2 linked regions of the Oryza sativa Japonica Group genome follow. The protein of the gene in region 1 interacts with the protein of each later gene in a pairwise test. Links are inferred from orthologs where the notes say so. Each region holds a gene or a part of one and is shown in the gene's direction. Other genes may lie near its edges.

Region 1 (11,919 bases):
AATTTGAAGAAATCAACTAATTTTTATGACGAAGCGAGTGTGTATCTCTAGGGGTGGGCAAAATAAGACCAAACCGAAGACCGAACCAAAAATACCGAGACCGAGAAATTCGGTCTCAGCCTGTCAAAGACCGAAATTTGTTCGCGTAATAAGGTTATTGGGCCCAGTTAACCGAATTAACCGAGAAAACCAAATTGTGACCCAATAGGTCTAGAAAGCCCAATAAGCCCAATACACCTCTAAACCCTAGAGGCCACCCGCTCCAACCAGCAGGACACATCCCTGTCGCGCCCCCCACCGGCTCCGCATCCCCAGCGCGCTGCCCTTTGCATCCCCTTCCGTCCCGCGCACGGCCGCGCCACCTCAGTCTCTGCCTCCATCGCGCCGCGCTGCCGTCACCGCCTCCATCGCGCCGCGTCGCCGCCCCCGGCCTCCGCCCTCCGCCGCATCGACCACAACGCGTCGGCACCACCGTACTCCCACCGACCACCGCCGCATCGGTGTCGACGGTGTGTGCCACCTCCCGCTGGCCCCGCCTCGGTGCACCTCCGCGTCGACTCCTCCAAATTCAATCAGACCGAGACCGAGACCAAGACTAAAAAAAACATTACCGAATTTATCGGTCCTGATTTTTTTTTGACGAAGTTCGGTCCTAGCTTTTAAAAACCAAAATAACCAAAAACCGGAGATCGAGTCTAAAATATTCGGTCAGACCGAACGCGCGCCTCGTGTACCTCGAGACAACATGCCGTAGGCCTGCCTTCCCTGCAGGACAGTAGGGACAACGTCCTCTCATTCAATCACGATTTGTGCATGACACCCCGTACAGTACATGTACCTTGCCAAATTAATTGCTGTGCATACGCGTGCAAGTAGTACCACCAATTAAGGATATGGTACACTGTACAAATTAACAGTAAAGATAGCGCTGAGTTATGCTTAAAAAATGTGCGAATTTGAGAGAAGGGGTCTCGAAAGTATAGCATTTTCTAACGTACGCGCGAAACAGTTTTGGACGATTTTTTTTATAAAAGATACTATAATTAACACAGTAGCATTCAATTAAACATGCCTAAAATACGTTGATATGTGGCCTTCTCTCATCCAAGTATAGAAGCATTAATACTGATTAAGGGATATATATATTTGGCCCACTAATCTGAAATGATGTGGACTGAAGGCGGCCGCGCGCTGATTGACACAGAAATATACATATACAGGGACATTCACTGTAGTACGAAAACACGACGATTAATACTCCTAATTATATCCCATGATGAAACGAATCTGATCGATAACCTATATCCTCCCTCCGGTTAATAATACTTGTCGTTTTAGACAAAGGCACGGTCTTCAGAAAGTAACTTTGACGACTATTTTCTATTATAATATATATAAAAATATCAACAAATATATGATTTTATTGGAGTACTTTTTAAGACTAATCTAAACATATGGTTTTCATATTTTTAAGATAAATATTTTAGAAATTATTTATAGTCAAATATTTTAAAGTTTGACTTTATCATTGTCCAAAACGACTAATATTATCAGCCCGGAGGGAGTAGTAGTACTTAGACGTTGTTTGTAAAAGAGAAATATGTTTTAAGCATATGTAGTATATCCAATCAAAATCTTATCCATCCTGGTTATATATTCAGATTTGCTCCCTGCAAAAAAATATATTTAGATTTGCTTTATATTTTGTCTAGAGAGGGGGTAGGGTGGTCTCCGTGTCGCTCCCACCCCAAAGCGACAGGGATAGTAACTAAAGGAACACCACCGCTACTCCTCCCCCCTCCCCCCTCCTTGTTGCCGCCTTAGTAGCCCGCCGACAAAGCTGGCCGGTCGTGAGGACAACGGTGGTAGGGGGGAGGGGAGGGGGCTGACGACCCAAGGAAGTGGAGGCACCGCTACCCAAGTCAAGGCCCTCCTCGGCCGGAGCTGGCGAGGAACAGTGCCGTGTGCTGGAGTGGCAGTATGCAGTGAAGACAATGGCTGTGCCTCTCTCAGATGAGTTGGACGGTGGCAAAGGCGAAGTGGTGCGAGAAGGCGCTGTAGCTCGGAGAAGGCGGCCTGCTCAATCATGGAGGCGGGGTGAGGCGGCTGTTGAGGAGAGGCAATGGAGGTGCAGTGCAGCGCACCAAAGAAGACGGTGTGACAAGGGGATGTGGTCGTGGAGGCGGGGCGAGGTGGCCGTGGAGGCTGAGGTGGGCGTGCGGACGGTCGCATGTGAGGATGCGACAGCAGCTCCTCGGCTTGGGGAGAGGCAATGATGAACTCTCACACGCCCAAGCTCCATGGTGTGGTGGCGCATGAAGGATGGCAAAGAGCCATCCAAGGCGGTTTGGAGTAACAGCTGGGGCTGCGCAAGGGGGTTGGCCAGCAGAGGGGTGATGGTGCGGTGAGCCTGCGTGCTGGAGGAGGTCGTCTGTCTGGCGGGGCATTGGGCTGGCGATGGTTGGGTGGGAGTTGGTGCTGCGGGTGAAAGCCTAGCTCGATGTTCTCGGGTCGACAATGACGACACCTCTTGGCATCGTGCTCTCCCTTTGGGACGTTACCGAGTTGCCACCTTCTTTTCCCCGTTAAGACTTTCCTAGTGAAAATCGAGTCCATGGTGGACATGCGACGGTGGTGCCTTTTGGTGTCACAACCTCCGTGGAGGCGCCATCTAGGAATCTTGTTCCCTCGTCTTTGCTGCCCTTTTATTATCTCTCGTCCTCACCCTCAACCCTTCCGTGAGGGAGGCTAGAAGTTTGTCATGGATGTTGGAGTTGGTTTGAGGTGGGGGTGTGTTCGATCCCTATGTAGCGATAGCGGTGACCAGTCATGCACAGCGATGGTCAGTTCGGTCTAGTGATTTTCGAGGGTGTGATGAAGCTTCTAGCATGTGGTGGGTGGCTTCTTTTTTTTTTTCTAATTATAGCCTTTTACTTTTTCCTGAACATATCAATATGAAATTTCATACTGTTTTGTGCTTTATTTTAAAAAAATTCTTATCCATCAATTAATTATCAATGCGGATCCGTGAGGAATGAAATATTTTAGAAAAATTTTAGACAACCAAGTACTAATAACTAATAAAAAATGCGCGGAACTTTTCGCTTGCATTCAATATTTGATGGGGTGCTGACATGAATCATGTCAAGCCGTGGAATGAGGGAGCGTTAACCATGCATGGTTAAGAGCAAGTTTAAGGACACCCATAATTATTATCTATAAGCTCTCTATAAGAGATTCATATCAGCATATTTTCCTACTTGGAAGAGATTAAATGAAGAGAGAGAATAAAGCTATCTACTAACCTGGAGATAGTCTATAGAGAAAAATGAGACAATGTATTAGAGAGCTATAGATCCCCATGTAGACATACTATTGAGATGGTTTACTATTAATCTAGTCTATTGCTGAGATGTACATGTTTTATAGATAGCACCTTACTTTACCATTGCGGGTGCTCTAATAAGGCACACTCAGCGGGCGATAAGAGTGCCACGTCATCCAAATTCATTCGTGGAGGAGAGAGAAAGCTAGAGGGAGAGGGCAACGGGCGCTTCTGCAAACGCCGAGCTATAGCACAAGAAATTATGCATATTCAATATTGTGGTTGTTTTTCTCCAATAGTATAGCTATGGCCCCATTAGCAGAACACACGGGATAGGATAGAGAGTAGCAAGTTAGATTAAAAAATAGAAAAAGTTAACTACCTAGAGAAGTGTGTAGGTAGATTAGCAGCCTACTATTATACATATCATCTTTATTTTCTATCTCCGGATGACATGTACATTTTTATCGTCAGTTGATAGCGGTACTATTAAACTTGCTCTAACGGATAATCTAGCGAGCAAGTGATTCGGAAAAAAATAACTCTGTAGCCTGCACACTGGGTAATAAATGATGGTCGTCGCACCAGTTGAACTAAGCAACGGTCGGTGCGAGCAGTATCTTTACCCCCCTATTGTTACGTTGATGGCTTTTAGGCTCCTTTTAACATGTGGAGTTTACAATAATTTTATAAGAAATATTATTAGTCAAATTCAATCGCAGTTTATTTTATTGATATGCACACCCTTTAATTTAGTCGAAATTATGAATCCTAAATTAGGAAGTACGAGCGATAGTACTTTATCTACACTCAGAGAAAAAAAGAATGTCCCCTAATACACATCACTGCCGATGAACTCTATTGAAACTGGGTTATCTGTCTCCGAAAGTCACTTTCTCGGTCCTCACATAGAGGCCATTTGGTCTGTGATCTAATGTCTTTGTTGGAAGCGGTGAATACTTTTAGACATGTTTGACATGATTTTAACTTCTAAATCTAACTCTAACAGTGAAGTCTAGAGTAAAGTATGGAGCAATCCAAACCCTATTTTTCCCCTATAATTTATTTTTCATATCACTTCAGCCCACTTTATCTCCTTCAGATATTGCTTAAACATTTGGTTGGGCTACAATTTTAAGAGAGATGGAGTCAAAACCTTATCATATACTTCCTCCGTCTAAAAAAAACTTAACCTAGAAGGTCCCCTCCTATGACAACGAATCTAGATAAATGGTAGTATAAATTTGTTGTCATAAGGGTCACATCTCCTCCAAAGTTAAGTTTTTTTTTAAATGGAGGGAGTAAGCACTTAATTTATAGTTCAAGAGTTCTTTTTACACGAATAATATAGAGTATCTATATAGTGAGAATTTGAACAAGTTATGTTATGTTTTTAGTTTTTAGCTAATATACTAGTTTATTTTTTTAGATCTTATGATTACTACACAATCTATCTAATAAAAAATAAAATTAAAATGTTTAAGAGAGCAGTAGCTCCTATTGCTATACAAGCTCTTGGAATAGGACCTCAAATCCTATATCCCTAACCTAAAGAAAGAACCAAAGAAACCAAATCTATAGCGTTGTGTGTGTAAACAAATAAATAAAAAAAAAAGTCCACCGAGACAAGAAAAAACGCACCGTTGCCGTTCCGAGGAAACGACGGCGGGCAGGACAATCCCGCATCCGCCGTGTCCCTTTCCGCCCCCGGCCCGGCCAATAGCCCAGTGGGCCCCACCCCCCCTCCCCAATCCCATCGTATCCCCCCGCTTCCTCGGATTCCCCTGCCCCCTGTCCCCCCATGTGCCGGCCCACTGGGCTCCACCCCCCCATCCATCCACGCATCCACCCCCCCCATCCGTCTCCATCCCTCCCAGTCTCCCACCTCACGCACTCGATGCGATCCCCCCCATTTGAAATCCCCCCCCTCTCCTCACCGCGACCGCCTCCCCCAAACGGTCACCCCCGCTTTGGCTCTCTCTTCTCTTCTCGCCTCGCCTCGCCACCGACTCCGATCGAGTGGGGGGAGGGAGGGGGGGTTTGCTGCTGCTGCGTGCGCGCGCCATGGCGTCCCCCGGCCCCGCCGCGGGGATGCAGCAGAAGCTGGAGGCGGCTGCGGCGGCGGCGGGGGGAGGAGACGGGGCGGAGTGGGGCCGGGGAATGCAGAAGATGGAGGCGGTGGGAGCGGGGGGAGAGGGGGTGGGGGCGGGGGCGGAGCAGGTGGCGCCGCCGCCGAGGAGGCCCGTGGCGGCGCGGAAGGAGAGGGTGTGCACGGCCAAGGAGCGTATCAGCCGCATGCCGCCCTGCGCCGCCGGGAAGCGCAGCTCCATCTACCGCGGCGTCACCCGGTACGGCTCCTCCCCCCTTTGCCCTCTCCCTCCTCCGTGTCTCGAGTCGCGGAGAAGTTTTACTTGGATGCTTATTAGGGGATATGCAATCGTTCTCTGCTTGGATTGATCTGTGGCGCTAAATCCGTTCGTCAGGTCTCCTTGTATGCTCAAAATGGTACCGTCGATTCGGGATCTAGATTTTTCTTTTTGTTTACTTGGTTATATACGGATTAGCTGTATTCATCGGATTACCTGTTGTGTCTCCAAGGGGACGATCTGAAATAATTAGGAGCTTCGCTTGATCTAAATAAATATAAAAGCTAATGAATGATTTTCACTTGACCAGTACATCCAACATCATGCTTGATTTAAGTTGTGTCAAACTGGGTTGACAGGGTTTAGCTCTAATCTGGGTAAGAAGCAAGTTTTGGACCCTTTTCGGTCCAGACAAGTGTGGGGCTCAACTAAAAGATGAATTTTCAAACTATATGTGTATTTACATACTTAAATCTTTTATTTGGTGTTTAATCTGATCCAAAAGTAGTATTTGTTCTATATTGTTATTCAACTGTTCTTGTACCACCATATGCTACTTCTTTCTTAATTTTGTTGTAATTTGTAAGCAAGATTTTAACTTTCAGCTGTTATTATGTATGAATTTGATTTGACACTTGTTTTGTATCATCTATAGGCATAGGTGGACAGGCCGATATGAAGCTCACCTCTGGGATAAAAGCACATGGAATCAGAATCAGAACAAAAAAGGGAAACAAGGTCTGTATACCCAATGCAAATTAGCAGCTATATTTTACATGTTTTGAAAAGTTGACCAAGGGACGTTGGAAGCTAGGTGAATTTTAATTGTATTTCATAGATAATCCATGCACGTCATTTCCTTTTATATCTAGCTATAATTAATCTGATTTAATGGAATTGTCTCTTTTGCATGGGAAATTATCACCCAAAATGGCCCTGCAAGTGCAGTATATTTAGGTAAGAAATCTTTGGTGTTAACTGTAAAATGTGCAATTGTATAAACTTCTTTATCCACATCAATTCAATGCGCAAATACACAGGTGCATATGATGATGAAGAGGCTGCAGCAAGAGCTTATGACCTTGCTGCATTGAAATACTGGGGAGCTGGGACACAAATAAACTTTCCTGTGAGTCATCTATACTTGCTAATTATAATTGGTTTCTTAGCTTCCATTTAGTTCTTCTACAATTATTAACCACACACTGCCTTTTCTTCAAGACCTTCATTTGGTTAAATTTAATCATTTATATTTTGCATCACCTGAGCTCAATTTCGAAGACTGATTCTCTTAAGATGCAAATTGAAAACCAAAAGATATCTTAGAGAGTGTTGTACCAAACTTTGGATCATACTAGTCCAAACATATCCTATGCAACTATTGTGTGATGTTTGAAAAATCTGAATACTCTTGACTATTATATTATGTTCTTTTGTATGCAAAGGTTAGGGATTTATTCAGTTTACACTTGACGATTCGGAGATGGATGTTTGTGTCCTTGACAAAAAAAATCTCTTGTTTTCAGAAAATTCATCTCTGAGCATATAAGCGACATTGAAAAATCATTGTCTCAGAAGAATATTGGCAAAACAAACATATGCATACATGCCATCTCTTCAGTTTGGTATCTATATGCCTATACATCTCGATGGAAAATAATTGCGATGTTGCTTATGAATTATTGTACTATGTTTTTTCCATTCTATATTTTGCACTAGTTAATTTGATTTGTGGTAATCTTTTTCAGGCTTATGTTCATTATGTATTTGCTTATTTAGGTCTCTGATTATGCAAGAGATCTTGAGGAAATGCAGATGATCTCCAAGGAGGATTATCTTGTGTCTCTTCGGAGGTATATTTGTGAATTTATAATACGTGCATATTACTTTGTTTCTTAAGTACTAACTGTAAGACACATGCACTGCAGAAAGAGCAGTGCCTTTTCCAGGGGTTTACCAAAATATCGCGGCCTTCCTAGGTACTTATTAGCAATGAGAAATATATTTGGAAGTTAACTCTATGTTCAGTTATTATATTTGCATGCATGTTTGTGATGCTAATTCAGTAACAAGTCTCATGTCCAATTTTCTTTTCTATTGTGCACAAACTATCATTGTCCATGTTTTGTTTATTTCGGTAACATTTTCCATCTTGCTACAAATATTTATGGCAAACCAAGTAGTAGTATGTAAAGATGATGCCCTGTGGTATATTACATTAGAAATTATTTTCAGCAACTTCATGTATTTCTGCTATGAATTAAATTAGTAAGCTCAGCAGATTTTTGGAGGTAGATAGCTTAGATACTAAACTACTAGCTCTTATTCGTGTGTCATTGGTCTTCATTTAGAGAATTTTAAAATAAAGTGTCATTTAGCAAAGATGCAAACCTTCAAGTTTTGCTGAACATTAATTCTTTCCAATAATCACTCGATTGCACAGCCACAGTCCCTCAACTGTACTTGTGATGCTGAATGTGCGTCATCGAAATTCTGTGTTTCCTCACTGATTACTGTTGTCAATGGAAATTCGGCATTCAGTGCCTTCGTTCTTTGTATGGTTACAGCTATCCTGCTTTCTGTGGGATCTCAACCAACCAAAACATAATATTCTCAACAGAATATCCTTTCAGAGGAGAGTGATTACTTGTAGCTGAGATTTTGAAGAGATCGACATACTTGAAATTTCCTTCTAGGATAGGATCCCGACTTAATAGTGTCCTGAGGACCACTAGAAATTAGTTTAGGAAAGTTTATTATTTGGACATATAAAGTAAAACTATACTCCCTCCATACTCATAAAGGAAGTCGTTTAGGACAATGTTTAAGTCAAACCTTGGGAATATAAATCATTAATAACTCTTAAGTTGTTGAGTTTGACAATGCAAAAATTATATGAATATATTTGCCTTGAAAAATACTTTCATAAAAGTATACATATATCACTTTTCAATAAATATTTTTATAGAAACAAGAAGTCAAAGTTGTGTTTTGAAGACCATCTCGCTGTCCTAAACGACTTCCTTTACGAGTACGGAGGGTGTACGTAATTCTGTTTTACTTAATTATTCACCAGATGTCAGTCTTCGACTAATCATTACAGTGCACTACACTGCTGGACACGTACAGTCACATTGATATAAATTTTATAACTGCAACTGTTGTGACATTATCATGCAGGCAGCTCCATAATTCCAGATGGGATGCTTCTTTGGGACACTTGCTTGGCAATGACTACATGAGCCTAGGTTGTGGTGTCTCCATAAAAACTTCTACACTGCTGTTTCTGGTTAACAAACTACAGAGGAGAAAGACAAATTCTATGTGGTTTTGTAACCAGTCTTTCTATTTAAATTACAGGGAAGGACATCACGCTGGATGGGAAATTTGCAGGAACCTTTGGCTTAGAGAGGAAAATTGATCTGACAAATTACATAAGGTGGTGGCTCCCAAAAAAGACACGGCAGTCAGATACATCTAAAATGGAAGAGGTTACTGATGAAATCCGTGCTATTGAAAGTTCAATGCAACGGACTGAGCCTTATAAGTTTCCTTCCCTTGGCCTCCATTCTAACTCAAAGCCCTCTTCCGTGGTCCTATCAGCATGTGATATCTTATCTCAGTCTGATGCCTTCAAAAGCTTCTCAGAAAAATCTACAAAACTATCTGAAGAATGTACTTTTAGCAAAGAAATGGATGAAGGAAAGACAGTTACCCCAGTACCTGCAACTGGACATGACACAACTGCAGTTAACATGAACGTGAATGGGTTGCTTGTGCAAAGAGCTCCATACACATTGCCCTCTGTTACTGCACAAATGAAAAATACCTGGAACCCTGCTGATCCTTCTGCGGACCCTCTTTTCTGGACCAACTTCATCCTGCCAGCAAGTCAACCTGTCACGATGGCAACAATAGCAACAACAACGGTTTGTTCCTCTTTGGCTCTACTTGACAATTTGAATTAAATCTGTAACATATTTTCAATTTTTCTTCTTGTGCTTAATTTGATGCTGATTTGTGACAGTTTGCAAAGAATGAGGTGAGTTCAAGTGATCCATTCCATGGTCAAGAGTGACCGTACGAGCTTACCAAAGTGCATGCAGGATTTGCTTTTTGGCTTGGTAAGTAGAGACTGTAGGCATAGTAAATTTTACATTTTTTCATATATTTTCTTTCTGTGTATCGCCTAAATTATCTGCTTGAAGAACTCAATGCATCACGAGATGTCCAGATTTGCATTCAAATAAGAACATGCAAGCAATGGAAATATGTTTATGTCTAACTTACAAATATCTAAGGATTTATTTTCCCTTGATTGACAGGTGCCAGTCTTGAAAAGAAAAGAATATACCTGACAATATGACACTCCGTTGAAAGAACACAATGAAAATGAACTGAGACAGTTTAAATCTAATCAATTAAACCAAACAAAAATACTGTTGTGAGATATTTATGTGTGCATAAATATTTTTATAATGATGAAAATATGGGATTATGTTGTGTAAGTGGTGCATCGAGTATTTGAGACATGATAAATCAACATTGTTTATGTGCGTGTGCCCACGCGTGGACAGTGCTTTCAGCTTTCCCTCCGTTAAAATATCAGTAACACTGACATGTGGGTGTCAAATTCTTAATTTACTATAGCTACCCAGGAAGATCCACTTTGCATATGCTTTGCACTCGCAGTCACAGTGATTTTACTGGCACATCCTTTTGTAAAATTGTTAGTTTTATTCCTTTTGAACGAACTAATTGTTAATTTTATGAAAAACAGCACGGTAGTTATAGGACATGTTTGCATTCCTCTTTTCTGCTTAACTGAAACCTTTTGCATATTTCAGGTGGGTGATAACATCCTGCACGTCTATGGGTTTCCTTCTTCCTAGCTTTTGAGGTGACCCGTGAACAAATACCCTTTGTATCCATAGTTCATAAGCCATGAATAGAAGGTAAGAGAAGTACAACCATAGTTATGTAATATATACAGTGCCTAGTGGCCTAGTGCCCCGTTAATGATATTTAGTTATAGAGCTGTCTGTACATATCGCGGTTCTTATTTCAGCTACTTGGTTGGTTCTATAGAATGAAGAGAACAGAAGAACACGAATTTTTCAAAGCTTAATTGTTTATTTTGAGCAAATATGTCCAATGCTTGTTGTTTGAGTTGTACAATTCGAATGATATTTTCTTTATGCTTTGGCTGCGTTCGTTTATCTGATAAGAGTTGGATGAAATTCTGGATACTCGTGGCCGGTTTTCAAACTATTAAACGGTGTATTTCGTCCGAAAACTTTCTATATGAAAGTTGCTGTAAAATACCAGATTAATCCATTTCTCAAGTTGGTAATAATCAAAACTCAATTAATCACACGTTATTATCACCTCGTTTTGCGTGAAATACTTAATCTTTATCTTCATAAAAATCTTCAGGAGATTCAAACACCACCTTTGTCAGAGACGGCACCAAAATATTCGTAATGAAAACAATGCCAAATCATTCAGCTACAAGAATGGTTAAAAAAATATATACATTAAAAAGGTCTTAGTATGACACTACAACCATAGGACTCATATATGGCGCATGACTCCATCAATATTGTTCAAATGTTGGAAGCCATATTTATAGACACATGGTTGTCCTTTAGCAGGAACTAGTAGGCATGCTTGTGAAATTAATGTACACCATCAATATTGTTCAAATGTTGGAGGCCATATTTATAATGTAGGTGCGAAGTATTTTGAAATTTTATTTATTACCTTTTCTTTTGCTTGCTTATAGTACGTACTCAGAACCTATGTAGATAGTCACATGATGTTATACCATCGATTTACCGGTATAGATTTTGGACTCGGGTAGTCGGGTCACTGGATAATCCACCCATAGAGCGCGATTGTCAATCCACTCTCCGGGTGCTCCTCATGCATAGATCCACGCTAGCCTTTTGCTTCTCATATATGTGCCCTTTCTTCGATCAATTTTGCTATATCTCACTCGAAAGTTTTTTTTTCTTATCTCTCACTTAATTTTCTCATTTAAATTTACAGTGTATTTTCTTGTAATTTATGAAACATACATTGTAACTTTTATAAGTTACAGTGTAATTTTTGAATCTTCACTTGTAAGTTTTGAAATTTATATTGGATTTGGTCTTTTTCTTAAAGATATAGTAATTTAGTATCCATTGTGGTGTTTCTTAGTTGATTTTTGCCTTTTATTGTATC
Region 2 (11,718 bases), on another chromosome or scaffold:
GGTACTTTCTCCCTATTCTCAGGCTGGAAGAGATCTCAGGTTTTTGAGTCAATCAATGGGAGCATGCTTTGGCATTGGAACCTTTCTACTAATGGTATGACCGTATGACTGTTTCCTTTCTTTCTCCTTTGGTGAGGTACTGATGTTAGATATAGGTTCTTTAGATCGATGCTAGATGGAGTTTTTGTCCCTACTTCAATTATGTTGAATGAGCTTGAGAAAAAAAAAAGCATTGGTACTGTGAACATTGTATCTTCTTCCTACTTTTGAATGCTGTCACTCAGTTCATAAAGCTCTGTGATGGCTGTCTAGCAACTAAAAGAACTTAAGTCCAAAATTTGAAAATCCTTTAATCTTCTTTGTTGTTCAAATAACAATAGTCACATCCTAATGATCGACTTCTCTGATCTCGTTTCTTCTTAACAGATCATTCGCAACAAATTTGGTAGTTTGCCTGGATGCTGGTGGATACTTGTCTTGTTTCAGTGGGTAAGGCCATCTGACCATTTCAATATATCAAGTTCTTTTTCTCATATTTGTATCCTTAGTTCCCTACCAAAGATAACAGACTATCGTTTCGAGCCTTATTTTTTGCATTATCTTACTTCTCACTATATAATAATGTCTCGCTACTCCAAATGTTTCCTGGCCACATTTTAATACTGTTTCCATTTTCCAGGGTCGGTTTGGAAGTGCTTTACAACGGCTTCTTTCTCCAACGGGCATGCTATATAACGAAAACTTCAATAACCATCATGATGAGTATGTCAAGGTGAAGGCCACATAAGAAGTAGTATGAATTATAGGTTTTCCTGAGGTGACAACAAAGATGAAAAGAGTTGCATAAGCCCAGAAAGATCATTCTGCAATCTCTGCTGATCAGTGGCACCTCAGCTCTCATACAGAAGCTGCACTTAGTTCATAGTATGATCTTTGGAACGGAATTCAAGACATGATGGCCCAGAAGATTAGACCAGGAAAAATCAGTAAGTTGTAGGGTAGAATTCGTTCTCCTGTCATGATATACTCCCTCCGTCCCAAAATATAAGCATTTTTAACTATAAATATAGACAACTGTGTGTCCAGATTCATAGCTAAAAATTGTTATATTTTGGGACGGAGGTAGTAGTATATAGTTTTGTCCTAGGAATTATACCTGCAAGCAACATTATTGCTACGGTAAGGAAATGTTTTCCACTGTCAAACACGAAGGCTGTCAAAGAGCAGTTAATTGAGCATACGCAGAAGAAAGCAAAAATAGATAAGAACAAAAATTTCCACATCTTTCTCCGCGAAAAGATGTCAATATCTTATACTAGCTCTGCGTCACAAAATGAATATTATTGAGGTGCACGCCACATAATGCAGCTGTTGTTTCTTCGGGTCACTAATTCACAGCTTCAGTGCAACTCACCTTGGCCATACCTTTATGCATTCTTATATACAAGAAATCGAGTTTTTGACATGCGGAGCCATGTGTTCTAAGAGATGTGATAATTTGATATTTCACTCAGCTGGCTTTCGATTACTTAACATTCATTTTCATTGACTTACATGGTCCCATACGTCATCCTAAAAAGTATCAATTTTAAAAATTAAAGTGACAAGAAATAAAGTGTCAAATCATCAAATTTTACATTTAAGTAATGTGGCTAGCTAAAACTGTGGCACCAATCAAATAACCGCAAAAAAAAAAACTAGGGCGTGTGTAAAATTTAGCTTAGCATGTTGTGGCAAATTTTAGATTTAAGATAAGATGCACTGCTTTTGCTCTTAAAAGAAAGGGAAGAGAAAGACTCTGCTTCATCTTGGGCTGGGTCGAAATGAGGCCCATCTACTCTGGAAGAGAAAGTAGAGGCCTTGTGGGCTTTAAAAGGCCTGGCCTGGTCTAGGTTTCCCGGCCTCTCATTGGGAGCAAATCGCTCCTCTTCTTCCGGGCCTCAGTTAATTTCCAGCCACCCCCTTCATATATTACACAAACATTTTTCCATCTAAATGCGTGGTGATGAATTTTATATTGTTTTGGTTTTTGTAGCATAAGATTGTTTTACTCTTCAGTTATGCATGCACCACTTCAAAAGTAAAGCCCTATTTTGTCTTTGTGGTCTTCAGGATTGCCCTGTAAGTAAAAACAAAGGAATTCTAAGATCCAACTTTCTTAGAATGTGTGAAACGCCTCACAGGTCTTGGGAAGCATTCCGAAAAATTTGGGTTGGCATAGTACTTTTGATTTTAAGATCCAACTTTCTATCAAATTTGACATACTTGAATGCAACCTGCTGTTGTTCTTCTGTTCACCAAGTGTTTTAAGCATGCTACTGGATCTTCACTACTACCTAGAATTAGGATAGCTACTGTTTTCTGGATTTTCCAGGCTAGTTATTAATTTATGTGCTAATAATAATAATCAAGATTCATAATCATAGGGCTCAAAAAGAGCCACACAAGGGTCATCGTCGTACTGCAGAATGGTGGCAGCTCGCTCAAACTCCTCCCTGAGAACCCTGATTGTCTGCCTGTCGACAACACGACCGAGGTCATGGCTGGTCTCGAAAGGATCCTCGATGCATATCAGATGGCGATCGTTTCCAACGCGAGTCGTCCAGTTCTTCTCCTGCTTGCTATCGATCGACCAGAGATCGAACCAAGTTAAAAAGGACGCGAAATTCTTTGAAGCATATGTGACATTAGTTCAAAATCGAATTTTTGAAGTTTAGTCGGTTTTTGAGAAACGCTCGTTGGCAATTCTCACCTGATTGTGTTCCCCATGCGGACGGAGATGACATCGTTCCTGTAATCGTGATGGAATGCCCAGTAGTGGAAGAATGCCCACAGTAACTCGGCGATGCTCTCCTTGTTTTCAGCACCAAAATCTTTAAGCTGGTCAACTTGGTCGAAGTATGCACATTCAGTGCCATCGACAACCACAGTATATGTTGGCTCCATCGCCTACAATTGGAGTGAGTTGAGAGGACAAATTGCATCAGGATAAAACTGACGGAAGTAATTCATAGATGAAGCTGAAATATACAACTTTGCAGATCCTGATTTCATCTGAACAATTCTAGACGCAAGCAACTCTTAGTAACATCAATCAAAGAGAATAAAAAATGGACCTGCTACATTAGTGAAAAAAAAAAGAAAAGAAAGGAAAGAAAATTGACCAACCATAGTTGAATGTCGAGCCATCCAAAACAGAATCATGCATATATGAAGGGAGAATGCGAAATCAGGACGATTCCACCAGCAAATAAAAGAGATAGAAGTTAAGTATTTTAGAGATAAAAAAATGAAAATGAAAATAAAAATGTGTGCAGACCATTCGTTTAACCTGTATCAGCATCATGAGTCTAAATGCAGATGAAGCAAGCGTGAAGTGATTTTATCCTAAACTGTGTGCATCCAAAGTATCAGTACTTCAGCGAGTAGTTCATATGAATGAAACATATTGGTGAGATAAAAAGTAAGGTATAGAACCTGCAAACATGGTAGAATCTTGGGCTCTCTTTGCTGCAAGAAGCTAATGCACATAAGCACATATCTGCAAATTAATAAGAACAAGATCAGGTTCAAGATTTTCAACAAATAACATATAGCTGTAAAAAGGGGAAAATCATGAACGCAAAGTCGTTTAACTCACGCATAGCTCGAAAGGGTTCCACGATATGTTTCATTAACGCCCCTTAGTTTGGCCCAGTGCTTTACAATGAAGGCCAGCTGAAGCAACCTCTCATCTATCTGGGCATAATCCTTGAGAAGCTTTGTGTTAGCAACAGCAAAGAGATTGTTGACACAGATATCACATGACAAGCCACTTCCTGGATCTGCAATCTTCACAATTGGAACTCGAGCACTGGTAATAGCCTGCATGAATTTGACAGGCATTAGAAGATGAACAGTCTCAACCTGCGTCAATTAAGAAGCTATTTTTCAAATACATCAATTATGAAGAATTATTTTTTCCCGGGCCTAATTTTTTTTCCACCGGGGCATTTATGAAGAATTACATGAGGCAACTAGCTCTTCACATTCCAGTTCCAGATTAATTATGCAGCTAATATTAAATTTTTCAAGTAATGATGAATCATTCAAATTTGGAAGAGATGCTTGCTTGCAAAATTGCATATATCTGGAGAAGAATTAATTAATTACCTCAACATTGTCGAAATCATCCTTGCGCAATGTCTCTGCTAATGCGAGAAGAAGCTCAGCAATGTTCTCTTCTGCAGCAGTGTCAATTTGGAGACAAACATCTACATCGCTATGCGAATTTCCGAAGGAATTAGCACACGATCCATAGAGATGCAGCTGGGCGTTGGGCCACTCTTTGCTCACAGAATTCGTGAGGGATTCGATGAGCTGCCTCTGCTTGGCCTTGTGCTCCTCTGATGGATTGAGGGATTCGTAGAGGGAGAGCAATCCGGGCGTGAAGGCGTCGATGTCATGGCGGCGTTCCACCCTCCACCGCCGCGTTCCGACTCGCTGGCGCGGCGGCGGCGGCGGCGGTTGATCCGGCGGCGATCCGAGCTGCTGAAAGGGAGAGCAAGGTGAAGAGTTTCATAGCATGAAGCGTCGGTGAAGTCTCGGTCGAGTTTTCCTCTACCTCCATTGGTTTCTCGCTGCCGGCGCCATCGGCGACGACGGCGAGGAGGTCGTGATCGGCGGCGACGTCGAAAGGGTCATCGCCGTCGCCGTCGTCTTGTTCGTCGTCGTCGACGTCCACCTGCTCGTCCCTCTCATCTCCACCGGCATAGCCCGCGCCCATCGCCGCCTGGTCCTCATCCCCGCCGCCGCAGTCCTCGCCCTTCTTCTCCACGGCGACCCACACCTTCTTCTCCCTCTTACGCACCACCGCCCGCCTCTCGCCGCCGGTGGCCTCGCCTGCATTCGCTGCTCCGATGAAGCCTCCTCCCACCCTCCGCCGCTCGAAGCCACGACGTCCACCATTCCCGACGAAACCTCCATACCTCCACCCCACCACCCCACTCCGGCCGCCAAAGCAACCACCACCACCATTGCCCATCCGCCGCGGAGGGCAACGAGTCGGCGGCGGGGCCGTCGCCGTCGCCGGCGGAGGTATCGAGAGAGGCGGGAGCCAGGAAGGGCGCGTGGGGGGCACGATGAAGAGGCGCTCCTCGGGGCGGGGTGGCTGGGGGAGCGGCACGGGTGGCGCGATGAGGCGGTGGGGCGGGACGAACAGCGCGGCGGGAGGAGGGGTGGTGGTGGTGGTGGTGGCCGGCTTCGGCGAGGGGAGGAGGAACCGGAAGAATCCATCGTCGGCGAGATGCCGCCGCCGCCGCAAGGGCTCGCCGCCGACCATGGCGCGCGGTGGTTCGCGACGCGGGGCGAGGAAGGCGTGAGTGAAGTGGAGTGGAGAAGAAGGCGGATTCCTTTTTGGCTTTTTCAACGAAGTGGTCAACAAGTCAACGCTTTTTTTTAAGGTACTCCATCCATCTCTAAATGTTTAACCCGTTGACTTTTTTAAACATGGTTGACCGTTTATTTTATTAAAAAAATTTAAGCAATTATTAATTCTTTTCCTACATTCATTGTTAAATATATTTTTATGTATACATATAGTTTTACATATTTTACAAAAGTTTTGAATAAGACAAACGGTCAAACATGTTTAAAAGAAGTCAATGGCATCAAACATTTAGGGAAGGAGGTAGTAATAGTTAACTATTTTGTTAGGGTGTGTTTAGTTGGGGAAAAGAAAATTTTTGGGTGTCACATCGGACGTTTGACCGGATGTCGGAAGGGGTTTTCGGACACGAATGAAATAACTAATTTCAGAACTCGCCGGGAAACCGTGAGACGAATCTTTTGAGTCTAATTAAGCCGTCATTAGCACATGTGGGTTACCGTAGCACTTATGGCTAATCACGGACTAATTAGGCTCAAAAGATTCGTCTCCCTATTTCTCCCATAACTGTGCAATTAGTTTTTCTTTTTATTTATATTTAATACTCCATGCATGTGTGCAAAGATTCGATGTGATGTTTTTGGGAAAAACTTTTTGAGAACTAAACGGGCCCTTACTCTCTTACTAGTGGTGCTAAATTATTTGCCATTAGACCCACGTATCGTAGACAATGAATAACTAATAATTAATTGCTACATCTTAAAAGTGGCATGGAGTTAAATGTCCCTTTTTTAGAGGTGGACTGAATTGTAAAATTGTATTTTCATTTGAACCCAGGGTGCAATCTACAAAAAGTTTACTAGGGTTTTCTTTGCTTCTCTCGCATCCCCTTCTGAAGTGATCGGCGGCGGCGGCGGCGGAGCAGGTGAGCAAGGTCAGTCGCTTGCTGATTGGTGATTCCGGAGCAGTAGATTGATTCGTACTAGCTTTCTTCTTCCTCGGGCAGGGCAGGGGGAGGTCTCGTTGCGATGGCGGGAAGGGGCGAGATGCCGATGAGGCCTGTGCGGCCAGGGCCGCCGATGCAGTACCGGGGGCCTCCTCCCATGGCTCGCGCGCGCGTCGAACCCGTCGATCGCGAGAAGGTGAGGCCTCCTCCGTGCCCCCCTCCCAATCGATGCGCTGGAACAGCAGTAGATTGCGTACTACCTTGCGATTCGACGGCATTGTGTTCCAGTTCGATTCTGCTAGGTTAACCATGTTGATTGATTTGTTTACTTACTGTTCACTATCGGGTTCTTTTGCAGACGTGCCCTCTCCTGCTCCGGGTTTTCACAAAGGTAAAACCTCTTGTTATCTCTCTTACTGCTAACTTCGTTCATTTGTATTCCTGTATGTATGATAAGTTCACATTATGTGATTTACACTTCTGTTTAGTGTGGTTGACTGAGGAGAGCATATGTTCATTTGAATACAAGTTAAATAAATAGTCAGAAACTTTATTGCGCTAGTTATTTGCATTGTGCAATCTTACCGAATCATAGGTTCTGGTGCCTTGATGGAATTGTAATGTTCATATCGCACTTGTAGTTGAGTCACACTTCTATGCAGTATAACTCGATCAAGTAACTCATGGTAGTGTTGTTGAAAATTAAATCCCAAGCCATTCATTTAGGACAGACTTCAGATTCTTGAGTAAACACTCAGCGACACAGAAAGCTGATTGTGGTACTGGTCATTTATTTTCAGGTTGGTGGCCATCACCAAAATGAAGAGTTTGCCGTGAGAGGAAAGGAGCCGAAAGATGAAGTGCAGATATACACGTGGAAGGATGCCACACTCCGAGAGCTCACTGATCTTGTAATTTTTCTAATATTGTGCTTTCTTGTCCTCTTTGGGGAAAATGAAATTTTACCTAGTTTTATACTACTTAACAAACTAGAAATCAACAAAATTTGACTAGTCTGATGATGATAAGTGGGGTTTGGCACTACGTTTGACTAAATGTTGTTTTTAGATGGAGATCTGATCAGCACAGTTTTGGTTATGTTTCAGGTGAAAGAGGTTGCTCTTGCAGCAAGAAAAAGAAATGCAAGGCTTTCTTTTGCTTTCGTGTACCCTGATAAGCATGGTCGTTTCGTTGTCAAAGAGGTGAGAGTTTATCCCCATTGACCATTGTGACTATTCTTCTGCTCATCCTGTTTTTCTTCCTCTGATACACAAACATGGAAAAAATGCAGAGCACGTTGGTCTTAATCTGAATAGGGAATGAGTGTTATTATCGTGAATGAGTTGGATTTTGCTTTGACTGTCACTATACGTTGGCTATTAGTTTGGTCACTATACATGGGCTATTAGTTTTAGTTATGGTTACTATTTTGTGTGCTTATATTCATGACATGCTTCCAATGACATCAAAATCTCTTTTCTGCAAACTCAGGTATGCATACCTAACACATGTCATTGGTACACCACTAGGCCCCATGTAGTTACCACTTACCAGTAGCCACTTCAGTCACATCGTGATAATTGTCTCTGTACTAAAACGTAGCTTGTTACAAGTTCTATCTGTGCCATTAAACCACTAAATATGTCAGTAAATTCCCTTGTACAACCCATGTTCCTTTATATTCCAAACCAGTAACTGTTCAATTTGTGATAACTTATATAATTGGATATTGATTGAAGGTGGGTTCAACCTTCTCTTATGGCCATGGAAGGGGAGATGATGCTAAAACTCTTGCAGAGCTAGGATTCCAGGTATTTGTCAGAGCTGTATTATGTTATTACAATGTATTCTTCTGAGGCAAAAATCAATTGATTATTTGCTATGTTCTTTCACAGATAGGGGATTACTTGAGTGTTGCAATCTATTGAGTGACACTGCTTCACGAAATAGTGTGTTTCTCCCTGCCTACCATGCTGAATCCAGCTTTCCTGTGGCGGTACCCAGCTTTCCTGTGGTGGTGAATATCTCTGTAGTACTAGAGACGTGATACCAGAACTGTTTGTTATGGTAGTAACCTTGGAATTCACTCAGTATTTCGAGTGTGTTGAACACTTAAAACGTTTGATGTGATTGCGTGTTATATACCTGTTCGTGGTTTCCTTGGAACTGTGAGATCTGAACATCACGCGTTTTCCATTGATTCTCTGCGCCGAGTAGGATTAAATGTGTTCTGTGCTAAATAACTGGGTGAAGGAACATAATGTTCTTATGATCATCTCCTACTTCTCACATTTCAGTGTTTCAATTTCCAACTGAGTTGGCAGGATACTGTGTAGTTCTGTGGTGAGCCCCCAAAGTATCTGAATGCATGCACATAAACTGAGTCACGGCTATCACAACTCACAAACAGCATCAAAACAGGAGAACGACAATGTGAAATTGGAATTTTGTAGTATGATTCTTTACGTTCAGACACATCAACCAATACATCTTGTGGCAACTGGCAAGGAAACTCCTCTGTAAAGTATTAGGAATATTTGCTAGTCGAGCTAAGGTCACTCCTCTGTAAAGAAATAGGCAGACTGATGGTAAGTTAGCCAACCTGTCTTCCAAAATAATAATGCTTGATATAGAAATTGCCTCACACTTTTGGGAAATTTAACTATTTGCCACTTTTAGGTTTGGCAATTAACCAAATACCCTTCTTAGATTTGCACTTAAGAATTTGCCACTGGAGAGAGAAGCTTTTGTAATTTTTTGCCACTTTCTGCACTGTTCAGTGCCACATATACATGCCAGCATGGACCAGGCACACGAAATGACTAATCTACCCTTGTTAGTAATGTCTGTAATATAAGCTGAGTCAGGAATAATATTTGGACAAATTGCTTTCGCGAATCAGTTGCATCGGTATGGATGCTGTTCACTTTTATGAGGTACTATATTAAAGACCGAGTACCTCCACATCAGTTAACAAATCAATATTTGAAGTAATAGATCCACTGAGATGGTTATAACAAACTTTCAAAACGATACTTAGATTGAGTTCTTTTGTTCACTTTCATAACTCATCTCTCTCGTTTTTCACGTGTACGTTTTTCAAGCTGCTAAACGGTATTCCAATTTGGCTGGTATTGTTGGGATGGTGCCACCTGGAGTGAGCTCAATTAAGGTGTGCGATAGCATGGTTTGGAAATATTTCTCTCTTCACGTAAAACTGAGCAAAGAATTAGCGCATGACTAATTTAGTTTGAGTTTTAATAAATAAAGAATAGATTAATATATATTTTTAAAGTAACTTAATTTTATTTAAAAAGTTATTAAAGAAACGTGCGAAAAAAATGAGGGAGTAGAACTCAGACCGGCGGAGGCCCTGGTTCCGGTTTTTTCCAGTCCAACCGCCGGTCTGGTCAGTCCTAATAACTGTGAGTAGAAGTTAGAAAAAAGACATCCGAATGCAGCCTCAAAAAGTTAATGAACTGACTGTAACATGAATGGTGCCATTGATGTTGTTGCCTTATAAATTTAAAAGTGTAAAATGGGAAGATTGGGCAGGTTGCTGGTTTCTCTTGGTATCTTTCCAGTGAATGAATTATGACTAAGATTCAATGCGGACAGGCTTAGCAACTGAGAAACTAACCACTAGCTAGAAGGGGTAGGTTGGTCATTTTTCACGTTGGTCCATGTTGGCATGCACATGTGGCACTCCACAGGGCAAAAAGTGGCAAAAAGTTACAAAAGCTTCTCTCTCTAATGGCAAATTCTTAAGTACAATCTTAAGAAGGGTATTTGGTTAATTGTCAAATGTAAAAGTGGCAAATAGTTAAATTCCCCACTTTTCTTCTTTTCCTTTTTTTTTTTGAGCACAAAGGGCAAGGAGCTCTGCCTCATGCATTTAGGGGGGGGGGGGGGGGGGGGAAAGCAGTACATTTTCACAATATGTTTCTTTCAGCCGGATTCTTTGGTCTCCCGCAACTACTGCCCTTCAAAGTCCAGGAGCAGAGTACTCTTGTGATCTGGTCTTCCCACACTTCATTTCCTCCCAAAGATATCAATCCTTGAGAAGAAATGATCCAGATCGGTGATACTATAGTGACAGAGAAAGTTGGCTTGATTGTTTGGCTATACAAAGTCCTGATTGGACCAATATTTTAAGGATATCTGCTGAATTATGGGTACACCGCTGCCCGGAGCATCTACGCCCCGCTCTGAACACCTGGATGAACAATCTTAGTGACATAGGAATTTCTTAAACTCCATCCTCCCCCCTCTGTATTTTCTGAATTCTCAAGCAACTTCTCCTTCCTCCATGTAAATTATCTTTATTTGTAACTATCTCTTTATTTATCAATAAATGTTCAGGCCGGTGCTAATCCACCCGCCATAGTTTCCCTGAAAAAAAAAAGGATATCTGCTGAATTAATCTGCATTCTAACATCATACAGTTGGTTGATCCATTTCTTATGGGGCAGTGGATCAGGCACAGTTTCTGCATCCTGTTCGTTCTTTTAAGTTCACACTTATTAGTCCATCCTGTTTGGAGAAGCAAAGGGCATGCGATTGAAATGCTCCTTGGGACAAAGCAACCCACTAGATTCTTTCCCTTATTCTGGCACTTGCACGTCTCATCTGTCTAGCAATAAAATCAGCTTCCTTCATTTTCCCGGATTCCTCCAGTGCATGATGAAGTGCAACTAAACTACGAGGTGCAGCGACAGAAGCCAAAGCACTTCTGTTCTCAATGAGTTCATAGAACAGCCGGAATGCTTCTGAAGCTCTACCAGTCATGCAAAGACCATCCAGAACCATGCTTGGAATGGCTACACCAAAATTCTGAGACTTCTCCAAGCTAAACAAAGTAAAATCTGCAGCTTCTATGAACTTCTTTTCCTCGCAAAGGTTTGCGATTAACTTTTCCATCTTGATGTAATAGCCATGGTCATATAGAGATGTAACAATCTTGTAAGCACGGTCATTTAGGTTGTTCCTGAACAATGTATCTACCAAATTTGTCGAAAGATCAACATTTTGGCGAATCTTCCTCTCTAGCATTATCTCAATCAAATCAGCTGCTTCTTTTGCACAACCATCTTTGTTCAAAAGCCCCAAAAGAACCGAGTGAAAAGTACTTGTGCTTGGCCGAAGACCGCTATTCAACATCCTGTGCAAGGCTTCCCATGCAAACTTCATCCTTCCCCTCTGTGAAAACCCTTCAATCACGGCAATGTAGCATTCATCATCAGGGACAAGATCCCGCTTCAACATTGAGAGCAGCAATGCATACCCTTCTTCGAAATCACCCTCTCTGCAATGCCCAAGGATCAATGTCTTGAATGCAGGAACATCGACCTTGCTCCTCCGGTCCAGCAGCTGCCCAAACAGCATCCTTGCCTTCTTTGTCTTCCCA

Evidence for each region.
Region 2: the proteins of aP2-like ethylene-responsive transcription factor SMOS1 (region 1) and histone deacetylase complex subunit SAP18 interact in binary tests that used the Arabidopsis thaliana proteins (3 or more experiments, as listed by UniProt). The link is inferred for Oryza sativa Japonica Group from reciprocal best matches to the Arabidopsis thaliana genes AT2G41710 and SAP18.

Annotation. Positions count from the first base shown.
Region 1 is NC_089039.1:18,908,313-18,920,231, forward strand, and holds aP2-like ethylene-responsive transcription factor SMOS1, read left to right. Parts: upstream 1-5,211; 5' UTR 5,212-5,389; coding exon 5,390-5,673; intron 5,674-6,346; coding exon 6,347-6,429; intron 6,430-6,639; coding exon 6,640-6,648; intron 6,649-6,731; coding exon 6,732-6,820; intron 6,821-7,470; coding exon 7,471-7,544; intron 7,545-7,619; coding exon 7,620-7,670; intron 7,671-8,871; coding exon 8,872-8,939; intron 8,940-9,051; coding exon 9,052-9,620; intron 9,621-9,718; coding exon 9,719-9,769; 3' UTR 9,770-9,815; intron 9,816-10,538; 3' UTR 10,539-10,834; downstream 10,835-11,919.
Region 2 is NC_089036.1:1,162,636-1,174,353, reverse strand, and holds histone deacetylase complex subunit SAP18, read left to right. Parts: upstream 1-6,259; 5' UTR 6,260-6,299; intron 6,300-6,351; exon of another isoform or gene 6,352-6,371; 5' UTR 6,372-6,393; coding exon 6,394-6,507; intron 6,508-6,669; coding exon 6,670-6,702; intron 6,703-7,111; coding exon 7,112-7,222; intron 7,223-7,417; coding exon 7,418-7,513; intron 7,514-8,050; coding exon 8,051-8,122; intron 8,123-8,206; coding exon 8,207-8,239; 3' UTR 8,240-8,477; downstream 8,478-11,718. Other genes in the region: protein DETOXIFICATION 46, chloroplastic, read left to right, coding at 23-94, 427-489, 680-787; UTP:RNA uridylyltransferase 1, read right to left, coding at 2,408-2,621, 2,753-2,949, 3,478-3,541, 3,641-3,906, 4,153-4,530, 4,604-5,320; pentatricopeptide repeat-containing protein At1g02060, chloroplastic, read right to left, coding at 10,902-11,718. UniProt on the Arabidopsis thaliana protein: Links the histone deacetylase complex to transcriptional repressors bound to chromatin. Involved in the tethering of the SIN3 complex to core histone proteins.